Linked DNA regions of Drosophila melanogaster. The protein of the gene in region 2 purifies or fractionates together with the protein of the main gene of each other region. This does not show direct contact. Each region holds a gene or a part of one and is shown on either strand. Other genes may lie near its edges. The genes, in order: na and unc79.

Region 1 (4,955 bases), on a different chromosome or scaffold from region 2:
GCCAGTGAATTGATGGTCAGAATTCTGAAAATGAATTCTTATTAATTAACTGACCATGTTCTATTGGGATTTAACTGGGTTCTAACATTTCTCATTTGAATTTCTGTTAACTTACGGTCTTTTGTATAGATCGTACTCCGTATTATTCATTACACAATGGTTTTTTAGTTCGCCAAAGAACTGAACTCCTAGCAAACCATATAGGGACATGAAGAACAGGAAGAACAGTGTCACATTGTAAATTTGCTGGCTCGAACGTCTGTAAATCAAAGTTGATGATATAGTATAGCTGATGATGTTGTTAAAGTTTACAAGATACATACTTGAAGATTTGATTAATACGACTTTTTGGCATACTGAATTTAAGGAAGACGCGTAGGAAGCGGATCATGATCAAGGGTCTTGGTGCTCTCATAATGGATAAATAGGAAAACCTATATATTATATATTATATTGTTAGAATCGAATTATTATAACTATGGGGCGTCCACTTACTTTGGTACTATCTCCAGCACTTCGAAGATTTGCAGAATGATCGAAATCCACAGGAAGCTGACCATGGAAGCATCGAATTGGCACCAGTGATCTTTTAAATAAGGCACCTCACCCTGCAAAAGAGTATCGATGAAGTAGATGGCATTTCTCTCAGTGCACCAGACTCACATGCAACACGCCACGGATGTGCATCTTGGCGATCATCTCGGCGGTGAAGAGCAGCGTAACAGCCGTGTCCGATGCAAAGGTGATGAACTGCAGCGACGGATAACGCTCGAAGGTCTTGGGCGTGTTCAGTGATACGGAGGTCAGTGAGACGAGGGCACACAGTCGCATTAGGCGGCGCACCCACAGCTTGTTCACCCACTCGATGTCGGCGCTCTCGTTGAGCGATTCCTCCGGTCCGTAATCCGCGAGGAAAGGTTCGCCGCCCTTGAGGCTCTGCTTCCGGCCCAGCATGATCTTGTTGCCAATTCCGGTGGCAATGCCCAGCCCAATGGGCGGCACTCCGGTGATGGCTGCACTGCCCACGGTGCTGCTAATGCCGCCACATATGCCCATGCCGGCGGCAGCTGCTCCGCCGCCCATGCCACCCATGCCGCCCAGTCCGCCGAGCAGATTGAGACCACCTCCGCCGCCACCAACGACCGGTCCCAGCCCGGCACCATTGTTGTGGCCACCGCCCGAAGATGGAGCCGCCGTCGCCGATGAGCCACCGCCTCCTCCGCCGGCCAACGACTGCTGCTGCTGTTGCGGCTGCATTCCGAAGGCGACGCTGCTGCCGCCGCCGCTGCCGCTACCGGAGTTCACAATGGTCGTCGGACTGTTGAGCGCACTGGCCGCATCCTGGCGAGCGCCCAGTCCCAGTCCGTTGCCAGGACTGCTACCCGGCGATGGATTGAAGCTAAACTGGCTGGCGGACGCCGGCTGCGAGTGTCGCAGGTGTGGATACGAATGCGGATGCCCGTGCGGATGTGGATGCGGATGGTGCGAGTGCGGCGGCGCGTGATGATGCGTATGCTGCTGATGGTGTGCGTAGTGATGCCCGTGATGGGACTGATGGTGTGGATGCTGCTGCTGTTGCTGCTGCTGCGGCGTCAAGCTGTTGCCGCTGGAGGAACTGGTGCTGGCCGTCGCCGGCGTGTTGATGCCGCTCGTGGAATACGGATGCGAATGGTGGTGGTGCTGGTGGTGGCCACCACTGCCGCTGGATCCGCTGGCCGCTGTTGCTGACGCTCCAGTGATCGGTCCTGTTCCCGCCGCTCCAGCCGCTCCCGGTACCGCCCCTGCTCCTCCTCCTCCTCCTCCTCCGCCGGCGCCGCCGCTGCCTACTGCTCCGCCTCCAGCTCCGCCTCCGCCTCCTGCGCGTTTGTTTCTAGCAGCTGCACCCAAGCGACGAATCTGTAGGCGGTCAATCATTCAAGCGGCGCATCCTGACCCTGAAACGGTCGCTAAGTTATGCCTGCTGTGTGGAGAGGGGGCATATTAGTTAGTTACTTGACTAGATCAGTTAGAAGTAAACTTAACCGCCAAACTGCTGTCATATTTCAACATTACTAAGATTATTCTTAAGTTTTGAAGGGTAAATATATTGAATTATAAATTACATGTACAATATATATTATGTTTCATGTTCTCTACGTATTAGTATTTAGCACCTCCATGTTTCCAAGGATGCCCTCCACCAACTAGGCGGCAATTAGAGCCAAGACCTTTGTCAATATTTACATTCGAACAGCTGCCAAGGTGGGCTGAAGGTGCAGCACTCAAACCCACTCACACAGGCACTGAGTGCACTGCGTAAAAAAAATATTTAAAATAGCTCAAAGTGTTATATTATAAAGTAATAAAATATATATGCAAATGAATCAATCAATAGACAGACATTTCAATTCATTAGTTGCATATCCTGTGATATGTAATTTATAATCTTTAGCCTGTTTTACCCAATTTTTCAAATCCACAGGCCAAGTTTATTGATCTGCTTTTGTTTTGAGTGTATCGTTTGCATCAACTTTTTGTATAGGAATTTCAACAAAGATCTTCGAGAGCAACCAAAATTTGTTTCTGTGTGAATCAAGACAGTCAGCTCGGATGGCGGATGGCACTTGCAACCCCCGAATGAGCAACCACTTCTCGCCGTATATGCGTAGATATGTGTACTATACGACCCAGTCCCATCCCCACTGGCGAATCCATTGTCATTACCAAAGGAGCAGTAACCAAAAGCAGCCATGCCCACTCCAATTCAAAGCGAATTCAGTGGGCAAAACTCAAATCAGTACGATTTGTGTAAAGGTATTTTGCCTTTTTTTTTACCTTGTCTCTTTAACTAACACATTATCTACACATAGCCTACTCACTTTTCGCCTGATGGAGCGGCTGCTGGTGGATGGTTAACTTTTGATGGCGAAGATTCGCGCAATTTTTATCACAGAGTCCACATAAATGGATTGCACTGGGGAGACTATTGAAATCTAAGAATATATCCGGTTGCCGCACTTTCCGGTTTTCCAAATCTGTGCGGGAAGGAAAACGCGTTTTTTTTTCTTTCAACACCAAACACGCGCCGAGGTCCTCGTAAAAGAGTCCTTTTTCTTTGTTTTTTTTTTTTTTCTTGTATGTTTTTTTTTCGGACGCGGAGACTTGGAGTTACGGCCACTCAGTCTGTTTAGTCAGGCAGTGCTCCAGTCAGCCAACTGAACTGACAGCTCCACTGGGCCGTCACTTTGAATGGCTCTGGTTCCAAGTCGAGCAACCCCCAAAAATGGACGACGCCTGCGCACTTTCGCGGGTCGATTCGGTTACCAGTGTCGGAGTGGCAACTCCGCGCGGAGTGGCCAACAAGCGACCACGGCGATTTCAACAAATCCGAGCAGCAATCGCATCGAAATGGGTGCCACGGCCTCGTGCAAGAAAACCTCCGGCAGTGGCTATCCGGAGCACGATGATCCCAGCTATCGCAAGTGCCAGGAGCTCAAGGTGAGTCCACCGCTTTATATAATCCCCAAAACCCCGCATGACCAAAGCGACCGCACTCAGATGGAGCGCTGGATCCAGATGCACTACCAGATCAAGCAGCGGGAACAGGCACTGGCCATTGCCCACCATCGGGAGCTCTTCTACTGGCTGAGCGGATTCTACCTGAGTGCTGTGTACGGCTGCGCCAGTTACTACCAGAGGGTCAGGAGGGTATCCGCGCTGGCTCCGCTCCTGCCGCTCACCTTCGTCGTGGGTTACTATACGGACTGGGCGTACGGCAGCAAGATGCATCGCATTCAAGGTGGGTCTGGGATAGGATTGTTTGATTAAGTGCCATTAGAAGGATGATATCTTATACAAACCTATCCGATGATTACATCAATTGTAGCGGAGGCGAACATGATTATGGAACACGAGCAGGAGCTGCTCCACTGGCCAGGTGGTCTGCCCACTGTTGCCGGAATCGATGAGGCCCGCGTGGAGACCGAAATGGAGAAGAAAATGCATCCGCACCACATGTAGAGGCAAAAGGATGCCCCTCTCCCGGTTAGCCTGTAGGTGGGATTGGGTTCTCGTGCTCAGGTCCTCGTTCAAAAACACACACACACTCCACAATCAACAGGATTTGTCCCAGAGTTTCAGAAATTTGTAAGACCCCTTAGCTAGAATTTAATATATATTTTTTTTTTTTTGGCATTAACAGTGCTGTTGAATGCTGAAATGTGGGGACCATTCAATTACACTTCACAACACTCAACAGCATTCTAATTACGTTTCACAGCCCATTAAGCAACATTTTAAAATTTCTTACAACGAATATACATACAAATATCATTCATTACACACATCTAAATCCAATTTATGCGAAAATGTTCAGCATTTTTAAATTGAAATCACACGTTAGATAAAGGCTGCCAGAAAATTTATTTGAAACTAATAGAAATAATTGTAACTAGCAAGAAGGCATCATCATATCATATCCTGTTCCAAAGGAGCACTACTTTCACCAAGTTTAACATTTTTTGCACAGAACCCCAGCCAGCCTACAGCGCCAGATAGCTCAAATATAGGCCTATATATATATATATAAATTTATATTATATATATTTATATTCAGAAGTCCTCCATAATGACCATTTACTTAGCCGCAGTTTACTCGCTCTTTCTAAACTCTATCTATCTGTGTGTGACGCGCTTTACTTTTCCAGCAATTTTTTGAGACAATACTCCTTATATTGGATAGTTAAAATGATTGATATATATATATATATAGTATATATACATACATACACTTATGTACACTTGATAAAAATTGTAGTCTAGAATATCTAATAAATGTTTTGCTCCCAGCTCAAAAGGCCACATCATCGCAGTCGAGCAGTCCGTGCTCAATGAAATTGCGCGACTCCTTTTTGTAGTGGCGATCGCAGAACTCGGCAATCCTGGAGCACGCCTCCTCGATCATTGCCCCGGGCACA
Region 2 (5,178 bases):
GACCATGCACTTGATCAGCCTGGAGACGTTCTCGCAGACACTCGTATGGATGCCCATGTGCTGCTCCACGTCCTGTAGTTCCATTTGCTTCAGAAGTATGTCCAGCATGAGGATGCAACAGGTGAGATTGTGCTCAGCATCCGTGGAGAATTCCGTGTGACGATTCGTGGGCGCCTCGTCATCCGAAATGGCAGACGTATTACCAGAGTCATCCTCGACAACAGGAGCTATTGAAAGAATGTATTATACTTAGTGATAAAATGTTAGTGGAAGGCATATTCACAAATAGAGCTACGCCTGGGCGGATTGGCCATATCCGCTTTGGTCTCCTTGCTCTCTTTACACGGGGTCTTGGGAGCCTTGGCCAGGGACTGAGATTGGGCATCCTTCTCGCGCATCAGCTCGTGCTGGATGCCGTATTTCATTATGCGAACACCATCGCCGAACATGGCGAACAACTGGACCAGTGGAATGAGAATCTCCAGCTTGGTGAGGATCTGCAGCCAGTGGAGTGCCTGCTGCTGCACCTTTGCCGTTGTCTTCTCAAATCGAATGGCCACAAAGTTGTACATGGTTTTGGCATCAAAGCCCAGAGGCGACATTTCCGGATCGAGGATCTTGCTGAGCACAATCTTCAGCTCGTTCAGTTCCTTCTCGGCCACGTCGTTGGTGATGGCCTCCATCCAGTGCGGCATCACATAGTCCCAAATTTCGGAAGTGATAACCTCATATGGCACCAGGCATATAAGCCGCTGAAGACCCTCTTTCAAGTGGCTTGTTCGCGACGCCAAGGTCTCCCAGTGGCCTCCAACACGGGCATACTCCGGGGGATGTGGCAGCAGGCAGGATATGAAAACGTTGTAGTGTATGCGGCAGATGTCTTTCAGCCAGTTGCAAACGTGATCCACTTTGAGCTTCTCAATGGTACTTTCCACTTGTCCGGCAGCTGAAAACAAATGTTGATGGTTGATGGTAAAAATAATTCATCTTAACATACCATCGTATGAGTAAGCGGTTACATGAAACCAGTGGAAGAGCATGCTCAGAATCCTGCCCAGAACTTCTACGGGAGTATCTGCAGTGGGTGTACAGCGACCCACCAGTAGCCAGATACCATAGCGTCCCAGTCTCTGGCGTTCCTCCAGAGAAATATTGTCAGCTGTGATGCCGGAGCCGTTCTTTTTGGACTCGGACGACGAGGACTCCTTGCCGGGCTCAAAGTTTAGTGGCTTCGCCTCTCGCAGAAGGCTTACCACCGACTCCACCATGTGCATCTGCATCTCTGGATCCATCTGCCAGGCGGGCTGCAGACTGCGATGGACCACGTGATCGCCACCTCGCCGGGAATTGTGCCTATTACTGTGGCACTGGCTGCAGTAGCGGATCGGATGGTTGCCATTGAAGCTGGCACACTCCGTGGAGAAGCAGATGGAGAAGGCGGACTTCTCGTTGGAGCGACAGTTCTTGTTTTCGCACACCATCGATACCTGCTGCATGGGATGCAGAATGTCGCCGAACTCCAGGCTTCCGTGCTCCCGATGAATCTCGTTGGCGCACTCGATGCACAGGTAAAGGGGCGGTGGACAATCGGGCGCGTATGCGATGCTAATGCTGTGGTCGTAGCACACCTTTGCTGCCTCCGCATTCCCGGAGTTCGGACAGTGCTCCCGTTGGCAGGTGAAGGGCACTAGGTCATCTATTCGGGATTAGAAGGATGAGGTAAGATAATAGGAGTAATCATATGAAATAAACTCACTGGTTAGTTTGGAGAGTAGGACTTTGCGATCGAACAGATTGGCGTTAAAGGCTGGCCAGTAGTAGAAGAGCAGCTTGGCAGCCGAGGTGCGGGAAACAGCGGTTCCGTATGCCACAACGCAGAGGATGTCCTTGACGACATTGTGCTTAAGAGTCATCAGGCACTCCAGGAGCTGGCAATGATGCGCTGGATTGTTGGAGTACTGGAGCACCATCATGATGACCGAGGACACTGATTGGCAGGCCTGACATTCCTGTTCGTCGGAGCTGCGACGAGCTAAAGATTGAAAATTAAAAATTATCAAATAGTTTCTTTAAACTAGGGAAGTAGTCACTACTCACTTATAGTAAAAGGCAAGATATAGTAGCATAGAGCATTGATGATGCATTGGTGCAACGCTGGTGGTAGTACTGATATAGTAGAGCTTACAAGATAGGGTAGATTATCGATAAGATCTTTGTCCAGAAAGGGAAGGATGCAGCTTAGGCACTGCAATAGAGCTTTTCCGAACACTGAAAATAAAATTAATTAGAATATTATGAGCATTAAGATGTCTTAAGCTCACCGATTTGGCCGTACTGGATGCAAGGTGCCACATCGATGAGCATTGTAAGAGCATTGTAGAGGTTGCCATATTCGAGATTGGGATAGGCAGACATGCGAGTGGGATCTTCAAGAGGATCGCGGATAAGCTCGTGCGGCGAAGTGCGCACATCCTTAAGGACAGCTGTAAATTTAAAGATATTTCCAATAAATTGGTGGCTTAGAAAATGCTAACAAGGCCAAAATAATAGGTAATAATACTATCAAGAGTTGGGACTGAGATAATTACATAGGTTACTCTAACCTCTATAGATACTTACTTAGTAGAGTTTGAGAAAAGTATTTGATATTGTTAGCAATATCGACGCCAGAGGGCGCAGGCAAGACGTTGTGCAGTAGACGAACGTGGTATTCATGAAGGGCTCTCAGTTTTGCCTGAACTGAAAGCAGAAAAAAAGGTCCTTTGAGCACCCTAGAAAGTTGAGACTTCTGTGGACAAACTTACAGGCGGCAGCGCGAGTGCCCATGTTGATGAGTTGCACCTTAAAGCTGCCAGTCATTATATCAGACAAATCCTTCGCATTGCCGAAACTGCTGCCGAGGGACTTCGCATTCTGCAATTAGGCAAAAAAGGATTGCATTTTGAAAACATTTAACATTTCACGCCCAGAATTGCGTAATGTATCGCCCAGAAAGATGCTGCCAGTGAAAAAGTGCTCAAGCGCACGAAATTTCATAGAAAACTCTGAATTTTCATACAATCCGGTTGCGAAACGAACTTAAGTTAATATTTTTGGTCAACTTACCTCGAAATTGGTTAGTTTTTTCAATAGATTTGCAATTTTTTACGGGTTTTACAGCAAGCTACGACCACGAAGAAAAATCTCTATAACTAAACTGAGTTTATGGTGTGTATCTGTGCAAGAATTTCGCTATCTGTTGGACGCCCCTTGACCCCCTCCTTACCAATTTGGCTTTTATACAGGCTTATACATACACTTTATCAAGCGGTTTAAGCTAGAATATATTTCAAATATATTTAATTATTAAATAGGCTATGTGATTTAGTATTTTTTGGCTTAAATGTAAGGGAATTTGAGGGAATTGAAGTTGTAGGGTAAGTTGACCCACTTTTACCACCCACCCTCGACAGCAGCCCCCAGAAACAGCTGTTCGGAAGTAGGACATGCGCATATCGCGTGTTTATCTCGCATTTGCCGCACTCACCGGTCGGCTTTCAACAAGTGCTTGTTTTGGTCTAGCCAATGTAAATATTTACTATTTTCAGTCGGGTCCGGAGTTTGCGCAGATTGTGCTCAATGTTGGTAAACATCGCCCAGCTGTTTATCCTGATATGCAACTGGTGTGTTTCAGATTTTCCAAAGTACTGACACGAGATAAGAAAACTACTCATTCTTGAGATATATCTATATCTACCTCTTTGGAACTGAGCCAAGAAATTTGCACTGGTATACTGATACTGAAATAAAGTTTAAAATAAAACTTTCTGCACCCTTATTCCTTAATAGCACACCTTCCAACAATTAAATACTCATTACGTGATTTAGTTAGCCAACTTTTGGGGGTGGCTCATCTTTAGGGCTTCCCTCGAAAGTGAAAACCTCAAATAATTCTCGGGCTTGTCTGGCTCATGCGGCACCTTTTAACCCCACTGTTTGCAACGCAAAACATGAAACTCGTTTAGGTAATCAAAACCCCCCAGTGAAGACGTTTTAACAACCGATTTAACTGAACTCTGTGACCCCTTAGACGAACAAAAACGGATGGATTTACCACAAAGGATGACATGACAACATACTGGGGTCTTGTATGTGTTTATTTCGTGAGCTCGGAATTATCATTTGTGGAATCAAAGCGAAAATGTTTGTTCTTGTATGTATGTCAGTTAGCAGGGATGTGTTTGAAGAGTATATATTGTGTAAGGTTGAATCAGCTCCCTAACTGATTTCTAAACCTTTGCCTCGAGATCGGTAGAGATACTAGACATCGGGTTTGATTAGTGTTAGTTGAAGACGGCTAAATGGAAGCCGCATTCTCGTGATCATTGGTAGACAGCTGGCCGCCCTCTAAGGCACTGACAATCTCCTGACCGGATGCCTTGCTGGCAACACTTTTGTTGGGCTTCGGGTTGGGTGGCTCCGGATCTGTGCCACGTTCCATTTCATCGTGCTCATCCTTGACTGTCGGCTGAGGATCGGTATCGGGATCTTGGCTTACTGGTTGCAGTTCATGGACTTCTTCAGACTCGTTATCCTCTTTATTGGCATTGGTCTGCCCTAAAGCTGCGTTTTGGCGCTGGCTCTTCTGCCGGTTGAACAGTATCTTCCAGTAGGATGAAATGGATGTCTTAATCGTGGGCTTTGCATTCGGCAACGGCTTATCCTGCTCCACGGGTTCGACCACCGAGCTCGAAGGATCTTGAACATCTGGCAAGTGGGGTTTATGATTATTCAAGAAGAGCTCCTTTTAATTGTAAGTCATTAGGCAATCATTTTTTTTTCAACAAATCATATTTAATACCAGTCAAAAGAGCTTACCCTTATTGGCTCCCTTCATCCGGGTAAAGAAGCGACTTATAGTGTTTGACTTTCCCAGGTCCTTGTTGTCCTGGGAGGATGTCTCGTCGTCATCCTCCACTTGGTCGCGCATCATTGGCTTCTTGCTGATCTTAAAGAAGCGCTTCAAGGAATTGGACTTTGGAGCGGGGGCCACCTCGGGACCTTCCACAGACAGGCCCTCGGGGTCGGCAAGCGGAATATCTTGCAGACTGGACATCTTCGTCCAATATGTCCACCGAAATTTTATCGAATTTTATTTACAATAAAATATGGCTCGGTTTTGTACGAAATATAAGATTA

Evidence for each region.
Region 1: the proteins of unc79 (region 2) and na purify together in Drosophila melanogaster (affinity purification with western blotting; one study listed by BioGRID). This does not show direct contact.

Annotation. Positions count from the first base shown.
Region 1 is NC_004354.4:14,264,612-14,269,566, reverse strand, and holds the start of na (narrow abdomen), read right to left. Parts: upstream 3,201-4,955; 5' UTR 2,859-3,200; intron 1,961-2,858; 5' UTR 1,915-1,960; coding exon 664-1,914; intron 609-663; coding exon 496-608; intron 435-495; coding exon 324-434; intron 260-323; coding exon 116-259; intron 25-115; coding exon 1-24. Other genes in the region: CG13404 (uncharacterized protein), read left to right, coding at 3,388-3,477, 3,538-3,778, 3,866-3,999; Tat (tyrosine aminotransferase), read right to left, coding at 4,829-4,955.
Region 2 is NT_033777.3:19,242,933-19,248,110, forward strand, and holds the start of unc79 (uncoordinated 79), read right to left. Parts: upstream 3,199-5,178; 5' UTR 3,106-3,198; intron 2,914-3,105; 5' UTR 2,860-2,913; coding exon 2,805-2,859; intron 2,740-2,804; coding exon 2,620-2,739; intron 2,484-2,619; coding exon 2,322-2,483; intron 2,269-2,321; coding exon 2,098-2,268; intron 2,033-2,097; coding exon 1,757-2,032; intron 1,697-1,756; coding exon 998-1,696; intron 947-997; coding exon 284-946; intron 228-283; coding exon 1-227. Other genes in the region: CG5217 (uncharacterized protein), read right to left, coding at 4,337-4,746, 4,858-5,095.